Linked DNA regions of Drosophila melanogaster. The protein of the gene in region 2 interacts with the protein of the main gene of each other region in a pairwise test. Each region holds a gene or a part of one and is shown on either strand. Other genes may lie near its edges.

Region 1 (3,756 bases), on a different chromosome or scaffold from region 2:
AAAGCCATCGTTTGTGAGCTTTTTAAGACAAGCAAGCAGTGCGAAAAGCTTTAGTCATTCAAACATATCACGTATACGTAAGATGAAATGGTCGTTACGTTATTACAATTTTAAAATCGAACAAGCTTCTGTTTCAATTTGTATTTAAAATAAAATTAAAATGGTCTGAGGAAATTACTGGTACGATGGGAAAATATATATGTAATATAAAAATATTTAGGTACTTTCATTAATGGGCAACCTACAATGAATGTTGAAGGTTTTGTTTTAATTCCCATAAAATATGTTCCATTTTTTTATGTATATGTATGTTATGTATATTAAATGTATATAATGCATTTATTTAAATAATTATTGATTTCATCATTGTATGTGTAGCCTCAAATCTAAGGGAAAATATCAATGTCTGAAATCAGGAAATTTAGTATAAGTAAGAGCACCCATCAAAAAGTGTACACAACTTTCACTTCCATTTACAGACTCTGGCGGCGGGTAAACAATCCTTTTGTTGGCCAGCTTTATTTGACTATTGTGATTACATTTCCTTGGTTCCTCTTCGCAGTTGCAACTTTCGTTGTTGCAACTCCGCAAGAGTGCCACGCCCACGCCTTACGCAAAAAGCACAGCGCGCAGCTTTTGTCTGCTTAACAGACAACCGGGCCAACGACAACAGCAGCAACCACAACTAACCTTTCCTAATAAAAAGTGATTGCGACGGCCTTCAGCGGCCGCAAAAGCAAGGCGCCACCCCCCGTGAGCAAAAAAAAAAAAAAAATCGCAAAAAAAAAACACACACATACAGGAAGCGTCCTGCATGGTCCGAGCCAAAAAAAGCTCGGTTACATCAACTCTCTGAGCGGAGAGCTCGCTCTCTCGCTTGGCCAAGCTTTTCATTGAGCACGCACATTGAGGCAGGTGCACGGCATCCTTTGGCGCGAGAGAATGCGACATCCGGAGAGCCGGAGAGCACGACCATTGAGGGTCCTGTTCGGGAGAGCTGACGCCTCTGTGTCTAACTAAACGGAAGAGGCTCAAGGCGTCGCTTGATACTTCCACAGTCATCTCAATTTCAAGACTAGAAGGTTAAATAGATCTTTATTTATATTATGATTCAATTAAATTATTAATTTTATATTTCAAATATTTAAAAAAAAGCCTTATGGTTATGTCCTTAAAATATATTATTTTTAATTTAAGTTATAAGATAGAAAATCTTATATGGAGTTCTTAAATATTATTCATAAAACGTAAGTGGGAACATGTGAATTAGTTAAACAATAAGTCTCTCTGTTAAATAAATACATTTTGTCCTGAATTGGATTACAAAATCTCTTGTTCTTCAAAACACCTCAAAATCAATTGAGGTCTCCATCCTTTTCGGTATGCCGCCCTGAATCGATTTTCGGCAATTCGCGCAAAATACCCGCCACCGACAAATGATTCATCCATCATTTGTGAGCCCACCTGGCTGGAAGTGAAGTAGCGTTACGCGGACTTCTTACCCTGCGAATTGTTGTTGCAAAGCGAGTGGGTCCTAATGTGACTCCTTGCACCAGGACACCCGTTCAACGGGGAGGAAAAACCGGCTTTTTGCAACAAACAACAACACGAAAACAAATAGAATCAAGTGACGCCACATCAGGTGACGTGAAGCTCGGAGAGTCGAGCTTTGAGAGCGACTCAAAGAGGCAATTATGCTGGTTTTTTGGCCCAGCACAGCTGACGCACGTTCACGTGGCTCCTGGCACCAATACACACACGCAGGCGACTCTCACGCTCTCGCACACCAACACACATGCACGAAAGTGAGGCAGCTTTTCTGCTTTTCTACGTTGCCGACTCGCTCGACAATTTCAGTTGGGCGACAGACTCTGGACTCGACAGAAAAACGAGAGCTTGGAAATTTTGTGGTCCGTGATTATTACCTGGAGATCTTTGGTGAAAACTAATGCAAACACTCAGCATCTGCACCTGCACCAAAATCAAATAAAAAAAAAGGATGCTCCCAAATAGATACGTGTGTGTGTGACCCAAAACGGGCAAAGTTGTAACGCAGAAAGCGCAATTTACAAACAAAATGCCAAGTGATTCGATTGTGTGAGAAGTCAGTGGAAAATCCATTAAGCAGCGAAACGACAGACGTCAGTCTTCAATCAAATGTAGCGCCAAAAGTCCAGGTGAGAATGCGACAAGTCCTGGAGAAATCCTGCAGGACGTAACGAAAACACGGGCCAAGCCAGGCCAGGCGAAAAACAATTCCGATTGCAGCATGCAGCGGGCGCAGCCAATCAGCGAATGGCGTTCTCTGACATTGGCTGCCTCAAACGGTGGCACGTTGTTGTTCTTGCCCTGCTCCTCCAGCTCGTCCTGCTCGTCCTGTAGCCAGTGGCTCGTATCAAGCTTAAATGTCAGGGGCATGTGCACCCAGCACCCAGCTGCCGAGGGAATTAGGAGCACCCTTTCCCGATCCACTTTTTCTGCGCCTTTTCCTCGGCTGAATTTTAAAATTATCACTTTCGCCCATCGCACAGCGTCGACTTGCAGCCGCAAAAGTTTAAAAACAATTTGAATAGGTATTTATTTGGGTGTGTTTTTCTCGTTTTGTTTCATAGAAGTTCCATGAGAATGTATTTCGTTTCCTCTTTCCATTGTAATTTACTTTGCAAAACTTCCCCACACAGGATCAAAACAAAGAAATTAAACAATTTTTATTTCAGAACATTTTTAAAAGATACATTCATGAGAAAATATTAAAGAAAAACAAATTAGCATACATTTATTTTATATTTCCAATTAGGCTTTAAATATAACATAAAATATATAATTTTGCTTTTGTTAGTTTTCAACAAAAGTACAATAAATGCATATGGAATTCATAATGAATATATAAAAAATATATGTATATCATATATGTTTTTGAAGAACAGCATATAATTCCGTGATCACGTTTTTGTAATCATTAAATACAACCACAGACTAGTAACACACGTTTCTGTTTCATATTCTGAAACCGCAAAAAATAACCACAAAGGTTTCGAATTAGTTTAATAACCATGTTACTTTTTAGACTCAAACGTATTTGTAAATTGTTTGCTGCACGCGTTTCTCAGTCGCCGGCTGCCGACCAAAAACAAAACAAATTAAAGTACATAAAACGTGAAATTATAGGGAAGCCTGTGTCTGTCCCGCACTCACATCCCCTTCTCTGCACGCTTGAATGGCCACCGATAAACCCGCTCAAAAGTCCTGGACAGGTTAGCACGCGACTTCTGGCTGATTATGCCTAATAACTGTGAGCCAAATTCGAGACGCAACAAAGACGAACCAAGAATGCCGAAAACTTTTAATGAGATTTTTGCTCAAATTTTGGTTTGCCTTCCGCCTGATGGGGCATATTAGGCATTATGGGCAGTTTGCTATTTAAACTATTTAAATTGCTGAAACATATGAAAAGTTGGGCTTTAATCAATACATATTGTGGTATCAAGCGTTGAAAGAAAATTGATATAAAACATGTACACATTTTATAATGAATTTTTATATTTTTGTCATTCTATAAAATTAAATTTACATAACTTTACACATATTTTTTTAAGACAGACTTAACTTGACTGAAAATAGTTGTCTATTTCTTTATGGTTCAACAAATTGCAATATCATAATTTCTGCTAAAGAAAAGGTATTTAAAATTCCATATACTTTCAATTGAAAAACACCACCGTTTGGTTTTTTTTTTCCGGCGAAACAATCGAAAAT
Region 2 (3,756 bases):
TTTGCTTCTCTAGTTTCTTCAAATTTAAAAAACATTCTTCTTACGCTGATATCGAAGGTTCCTCTAATGAACGCTTTTGATTTTGTTACGCGCGTTTGGGCTTTTCAAGAGGCTCATCGTCACTGGAGTAGTCGGATGCGGGACTGTGAGCAACCTTTTTCCCCCTAGGAGGTTCTTCATCACTGGACTCGTCCAACAGGTGTGTTCCAGCACCGATCAATACATTGGCGATCTTTTCTGTTCGGGCGGAGATTGCAACAGGATCCTCTGTTGAAGTGGACAGCACGGCAGCCGTGATAAGCGTCGACGTGGAGGGCGCGTCCAGTTCAGGTTCTAAAATGCCAAAAATCAGAATATGGGCTTAACCAATGACGATCTTTCCTACCCTGCTCATTGAGCAAGCCATGATTGGCCTCCCGCCGCTTGGTCACTACAACTGCCGTAATATAGAAGGTGAAAATGGGCAGCAGGACAACTACGCCAACGGCGATGAGAAAATTGGTCAGCTTCACCTCGCGTTGACAGCATTTCAGCGTTTTCGACCAATTCAGACGAGTCCGGTTCATCTAAGCAAAAGTAAAGGTGTAAAAATAGGCAAATGTAAATATAAATTTTTAAACTTACATTGTCCTGCAGATCGAAGCACACACTTCCACCGACTTTCTTTTCCATGCTAAGGTAGAAATCATTTAGACTCACGTAATCATTTTTGCACTTGAAGCAAACTAAATCCGAACTAGCAGATTCTAAGCAATTTTGCAACTTTGTTGAGTTATCGCTGTATACAATCCAAAAATTATCCCTGAAGCAATCTGGAAAGTAGGAATAGATCAGTGATTCCCAAATGAACAAAGTACTGATGCACACTTTCGCAGTTGGCCTTTTGCCACAGGCTAGTTAGGATTCCTTGGGTGGTAGCCACTATATTGATCCTGTCCGAGTTCAGATAACGCTTGGAACAGTTGGCGTTCGCAATTAGGTTTCCGTAATCATTGGTGAGATTGCGGTAGAGATCGACGCAGCCCTCACACAAATTCACGGGCACTGATTTTGTGGTGGCGCAGTAGATGAACTTGCTCTGTGCATCGCCAAGATCGGCGAGCAATTTCTCGCAGGAATGTTTCTTCCCGGCCAGCAGCATGTTAAACTGTCCACTTAGAGTTAGGATAAGCCCCAAGAGTGCAATGTAACTCCGCATCTTTTGGTGTGCTTTGCTCTTCGCCTACTTGAACGAGATGAAGGAGGAAACCAGGAGGGCGAGAAGCCGGCGAATCCCCTGGTGCTTCTGTTTGTTGATACGGGTGCTCCCTTTTCGCACACCCAAGTTCTTCTATGAAATATATTCTTTCTGGAGAGGAGTGTCGGGTGAGTTGCTGTTGGCATTACTAACGAAACTCACATTCTTACCCTCTGCACACTAAACAATATCACAATTTAACAAATACTTTTATAAAATCATATATTTTTGTATTGTATTTCGGCTGGAGACATCATCCATCAATAGTTCTGCATGCATTCAGTTACCTGCACACCAAATTGTTGTCCAATTGCAATAGAAGCAATTATTTGGTGTAATTTATAAACAAAACAATAGCAATCATTTAGATGTCCAAAAATATCGGGCCTTTGACACTTCGACTTTTCTTAGTGAGGAATCGCTATGAAAGCGTGGAACATCTGGCAACGCTAAGAGGTTGGCGCGAATTTTCAAATTAACTTTTACAGTAATTGCCAGTTTTCTCACCGAAATTGTAATTGTAAAATCAATTGTCATTGATTTATTTTAATTCCCTAACCAAATTCCTCTTTTCCCCATTATGAAGATCAGCTGCTGTAAGTATCATATCAAAAATAGATCACGAAGTTTACTTTAAAATTGCACGTTTCATTTAGGCAACTGCTGATCAAACTCTGAGCATTGTTTATCATTTATTTGCGAAAAATCTGTAAACAACCCTTCACAATGAGTATATTTCAATGAAAGGAAGTTAAGTGTGTTACATAAATAGATGCAAAAAAAGCGGGGCAGTAGTAATGCTAAAATACATCGTTTTGGATATGAATGACCCAAAACAACCCCAACTTGGGGTTTTTCCATTATCAATCGAGTTCCGTATGATCAGTAAAATATATAAAAATTTTTATCCATAGATAAGAAAGGGTTGTCTATTTATTACTCCATGCACATGAATAGACTCTTCTTACATGTACATCTTTTTTTAGCATCCTTCGCACCAGCATTTTAGACTGGGGCTGCAGTGTCCACTGGTTCGCCCTTCCCTCTGGCAGATATCTACGCACTTCTTCCTGTGCCACACAGCACAGGAACCCCTATATCTTCCGGAAAGGCAGTCGGCATGTGATTCTTCCGCTCCCAGGAAAATTATCATCAAGACAGCGGACAGGACAATTAGGAACTTGATTTCCATAGTTTCGGTAGGAGGTCTGGTAACTTAGTAATTGTTGAAATGCAATCCTCAAGAAATTGATCGCTCTCAGCTCAGAATAAGCGCTTAAATACGTTCCGATCTGTAAGTTTTACACTCAGTACGACGACGCTGTGGTGAAATTTATCTCGTGGAGATAAAAATATTTACCCAGACTTTTCGGCTGCCTTTACAATTTCACCACGTGCCGAATATAACAATGCATTGATCTGAACAATAAATATTGGTTCTTGACTTGATTTTATTTTAAATAATTGTGAATGTTTAGGGAATTGAATTTTATGATTGATACATAATCATTCTGGGTCTATAGAAGTTGTCCAATTTCGGTAGAAATTCAGCATCCTTCGCACCAGCATTGCAGCCTGGCACTGCAGTGACCACTCACTCGTCCTCGTCCCTCCTCTCGGCAAACCCGCCTGCATGTCTCGTTGTCCCAGACGGCACAGGGACCTCTGTACCTTCCGGAAAGGCAGTCGGCATCGGCTTCCTTGGCGCCCAGGATGACCATCATCAGCAGAGCGAGGAAGGTGAACAGGAACTTGATTTGCATCATTTTCAGTAGTTTTCGTGGTGATTGTTTTCTTTGATGTACTAATCAATTCAGATTCGGATCGAATTTGTTTTCAAGTGCTTTCGACGAGCTTATATAGGGCTGGACTAGTCGATGTCGCTGCCAGCGTCGTTCGATTTTATTTATTGATACTACCTTTTGTCTGGATAAATATACAATACACACAATATAATTGTAAGAACGTCTCTCAATCTAGGTCCCATGAATGGTTCAAGGAAAAGCAAACAATAAATGGCGTAATGCACTTAATTATCACAACCAAAACAACAGGATAGTGATATTTGCTACTTTGTGCTTATTGCCTAAAGCACATATATTTTCGAATGCAATTCTATAAAGTTTAAATTCCAACGGAGAGCGCAAAATTCGATATAAGCATCGATAACTGCACCTAGAAGTGTGACCATGTTTCGCGAACCTCAAATACCATGACTTAATTTTCAAATTCCACTGAGAACCGGATCGGCTATTTTGAATAGCCAGTTTTTCTCTGATCGGCGATTTGACAAGACGTGCGCGCGGACTGAAAATTGGATCCCAAAACCGCTAACTGAAAAATAAATAAAGCCGTGCAAAAGAAATAAAAAGTAAAGAAACAACAAGCGGGCCAATAAGTAAAACGTAATCAGCGTTTCAATTCTCTCTTTTATTTGCGCTCTCGCTCTCTTAAGCCGCTCACATTGCACATTGTTGTTGTTATGCTCGTTGTAGTTTTTGTGCTAATTAGAAAATACC
Region 3 (3,756 bases), on a different chromosome or scaffold from region 2:
ATTTCTCAATTAAAAGCGACATTTAAATTAGATTAAAAATGGCAATGTATAATTTGTTTCAAAGAATAACTATGTATGCCACAGGCCACACACACTAACCTGCTCGCATTTTCTCACACCCTTTGAATCCTTCTTAATCTCCAGTCGGAGAGCAAACAAAAAGCAAAAGCAATCTTTCCTTTGTGCCACGTCTCGAAAGTCTGAAGAGATCCTTGCCAGCACAGCCTATTTGCTGCTGTTTGCTCCTTTTGAGGACCTTTGCTTTTTCGAGGGTAAACGCTGCAGTGCCAGAGGTGGAGAACTTTGCAAGACTGAATAAAAGTCGGCCTAAAGTCTTATTGTTTTCTGGTTTTTATCTGAAAGCTGCTGCTGCTGCTGCCTCAGCTCTGTCATTCGAGGTCCTGTGAAGTTGGCGATTATTGTTGCAAACTTAGTTGACAACTTGCCTGCTCGTCCTGCCATCTGCACCGCCCACTTATCGCCACCACCGCCCACCCCAAGGCCATGCAGATGATGGGCCGCCAAGCGTAATAAGGCCGAAGCCCAGGGAAAGAGGAAGTCTAGTGAAAATAAACAGTCGGACAGCCAAGTTGGGCATAGTTGAGCTTCTCGGCATCTCAGCTTCGCAGTCTTGCAGTTTCCCAGTTTCCCACTCTCACAGTTTTTCAGTTTCCCAGTTCATAGTTTGCCTGTTGTCTCCCCATTGTCCTGGCCATTCTTTATTTTTCAGTCCTTCCACTCCGGCTCTATATTATTATTATGTCTTGGCCCGGACTGCACAAAGTTTTGCCATTCTCTAACGACTTTGAATTTTTAATAATACCCCGCTGGAGCTTAACAATTTTGCCATCGTTCGGTTGTAGCGGCTAAGCTTTGTTACCAATTTAATGCATTTCTTGGTTGACGGAAATTGAATATCCGTTAAGATATATTAACAATTTATGCCGCCCTGATTGCCGACCCCCAATGCGGGTGCGGAATGAGGAGATCTATGCCTTTTTTGCAGTAAAATTGAAAACGAAACGAAACGGAACCAAAGCACACAGATACTATACACGAACGAACGGTAGCTGTGGCAAGAGAGCAGTCATCATCAGGGCCATAATGAGCAAGTCAATAGCCGGGCGGGCCAGCAGCAAAGGGAAAAGTCGAGGGGAAAGCCAGGCAATCGATGACGGAGCAAGGAAAATGCCGGCTGCCAGCAGTCATGCAGCGACGTGCGATAAAAAGCAGATTGCAATTTGTTTTACTGATTTCCATGCTTTTGGCTTTATTTGCACGACGGAAACTTTCATTAACATCAAACAGAAACTGAAATTGAAGCAGTAATGGCATCGCCAGCACTCCAAAGGATACAGCCACGGGGAAAAGCTGGAAAAGCCGATCGAAATGCACTTAAATCATGGCAAGAATGAGATCTACGGCATGCTTAAGTGGCATTATATGTACATACATATGCGCATATACGAGAATGCCATTATTAAGTTGCATCCTTCATTTGCTCAATTTGGCCAGTTGACCAGCTGGCCATTTAATTGATACGGCAAAAGGTCAGGGTGATGGTAGACCCACTTGACACCTCACCAAATTCCAGAATTCTTTGGGCAAACATTTGAGCAACATAAATGCACAAGTCCTACCAACCAATTAGTTGGCAAATAATGGAGAGAAATGACTTTTCATCTCTCGACCGCAAACAAAGTCCTTTTGTATTCCACCCAGGACCTCCTGTTCTGAAATTTATGCACGGACTTGGGCCTGCAAGGATCTCGAGGAGTGGCGGACGACTCTTGTTTTGTGTTCCAAGTAATTTGAACAAATTTGCGAGACATTTTGTGGCCTCCGAGCAAATATTTCAGGCCAATGCTAACCACCCCATCATCATCATCATGGCTTGGGCAGGCCTTTTGCGGACAAAGGCCAATTAACTTAAATAATTAGCCAGAAGTTTTCGCCATCGGAGATGAATCTCAGCCTACGAGATGCTCAAGTAATTTCAATAAAATGTTATCATTCGGTTGCTGTCGAGTTGCCAGGGAAAATCCAATCAATTATCGCCCAAGGGAAGCAAATTCGTACAGAAAGTTAAAGGCCCAGGGAAATGGGAAACAAGCTGCGCCGCCAACCACAAAGAGTTGAAGTTGACGAGGAGGAGGTGAGATCCGACCGACCCCAGAAGAAGCCACCATCGTCATGGCCCTTCTGGCGCCTGGTCTACTGGCTGGGAGTCCTCATCATGGTCATCGGCATCGGTGTGGGCATGTACTTCACCCTCAAGTCGGACTTCGGTGAGTGCTCCTCCTACGACGTCCGTTGCGATTGAGTGCTCCTGGCGATATAGAAACTTCCACGGAAATGGCGGAATTCATTACCCATTGAACTTCAACTAATTTGAAGCAGCTTGGCCTGCGAAAGCAATTGTTCTACATTTAGCGAGAGTAAGTATGCCAGCAGATATTAAAGAAAACTATTTAAAATTATTTCCCAAATTAGATTTAATTAAAACTTATACACCAGTTATGTTTTCTTGTCGAAACATCAGTTTGATCTTTTTACTTTTTATCATCGCAGTCTACATTTGCCTGTTTGTTTTATATATACTCCACAGAGTTGGTGAAGATAATTAATATTGGGTTTGTAATATTATTTTTCATTTGCCTTGCAGTATAAACCAGCTTATCTTTTCGCAGATTCATATGTAAAGTTATTCATTTGTCTGTTCTCCTGTTTGAATTGTGATATGCTAAGCTTGGTTATATCACTATCAACTTACGTGCAGTCCAATACTTGTCATACATGAATTCTAGCAGCTGGATCTTAATTAAAGCCGGATGAAACAACCCACCCCACACTAGACCGCCTCCTTTATTGTTAACAATTACAAAAGCAAGGCCGAAGCCGCGCAATCTCCAGCAACACATGCAGATACATTTGTGCATGTAGACGTGTGTATTTGTGATGCTATTCAAACTTATTGGAGCGCTTCCTTTTGATGGCGTTCTGGTTGACTCTTCAATGGCGAAACACTTTTTAGTTGAATGAAGCTAGTGAATGCACATATTTTGGGTTGCATATAAAAAATCCTACGATTATTCACTGGCCCTATTTATTTTGGTGTTAATTAACGAAGTGGAGAATGGCATTCATTGATAAAAGTGTACAACGATTTTTATTTCACATATTTATGCTATTGCTGTAATTAAAATAACAATTTGAATTAAAACTCTAATTTTAATAAATAAACTAAAATTGCACACTTATGACGACACATTTTATTTAAATTACCAGCTTAGGAAGTTGATTGCTTCTACTAAACGAGACAAAAGTTATTTATTTCGGTGCGTTGGGGGTTTATCTTAAAACGACTTCTTATGAGAGGGGCCATCAGTCAAGGTCAAGCTTAACAAAGATTTGTCGGCAATTCGAGCTTTTATTTCTTTGACACTTGCCAGACTTCTTTCGTTCGCACACAGCAGGTGAAATATAAATAAACTTTTTAATGAACTTTAAGATTTATTGCCAGCAGCAGCCGCAGCAAGTCAAGTCTGACACTTTGTGGCTTTAAATTTTCGGACGGGAATGTGCTGTTTAGATAAATTATACAGCACAATATATCCCGAAGGCACTGGCTGGCTGACTGAATATTTTGAATGTGAAGAGCACCCTGCCCTGAACTAAATATTCTGCAAATAATTGCACTCGACATCGACTGAATAGACCTAGCCCACAAATAATATCTTAATGCTTGCTCTGTAT

The links.
Region 1: the proteins of CG14969 (region 2) and hbt interact in a two-hybrid assay, tested with the Drosophila melanogaster proteins (one large-scale study listed by BioGRID).
Region 3: the proteins of CG14969 (region 2) and CG17580 interact in a two-hybrid assay, tested with the Drosophila melanogaster proteins (one large-scale study listed by BioGRID).

What each region holds. Positions count from the first base shown.
Region 1 is NT_033779.5:13,329,220-13,332,975, reverse strand, and holds the start of hbt (headbutt), read left to right. Parts: upstream 1-1,854; 5' UTR 1,855-2,177; intron 2,178-3,756.
Region 2 is NT_037436.4:3,333,360-3,337,115, forward strand, and holds the start of CG14969 (uncharacterized protein), read right to left. Parts: upstream 1,620-3,756; 5' UTR 1,408-1,619; intron 1,349-1,407; 5' UTR 1,199-1,348; coding exon 868-1,198; intron 813-867; coding exon 625-812; intron 567-624; coding exon 386-566; intron 334-385; coding exon 86-333; 3' UTR 1-85. Other genes in the region: Drsl1 (Drosomycin-like 1), read right to left, coding at 2,220-2,429; Drsl6 (Drosomycin-like 6), read right to left, coding at 2,785-3,003.
Region 3 is NT_033778.4:12,804,597-12,808,352, forward strand, and holds CG17580 (uncharacterized protein), read left to right. Parts: upstream 1-2,017; 5' UTR 2,018-2,101; coding exon 2,102-2,323; 3' UTR 2,324-2,438; intron 2,439-2,493; 3' UTR 2,494-2,633; intron 2,634-2,690; 3' UTR 2,691-3,215; downstream 3,216-3,756.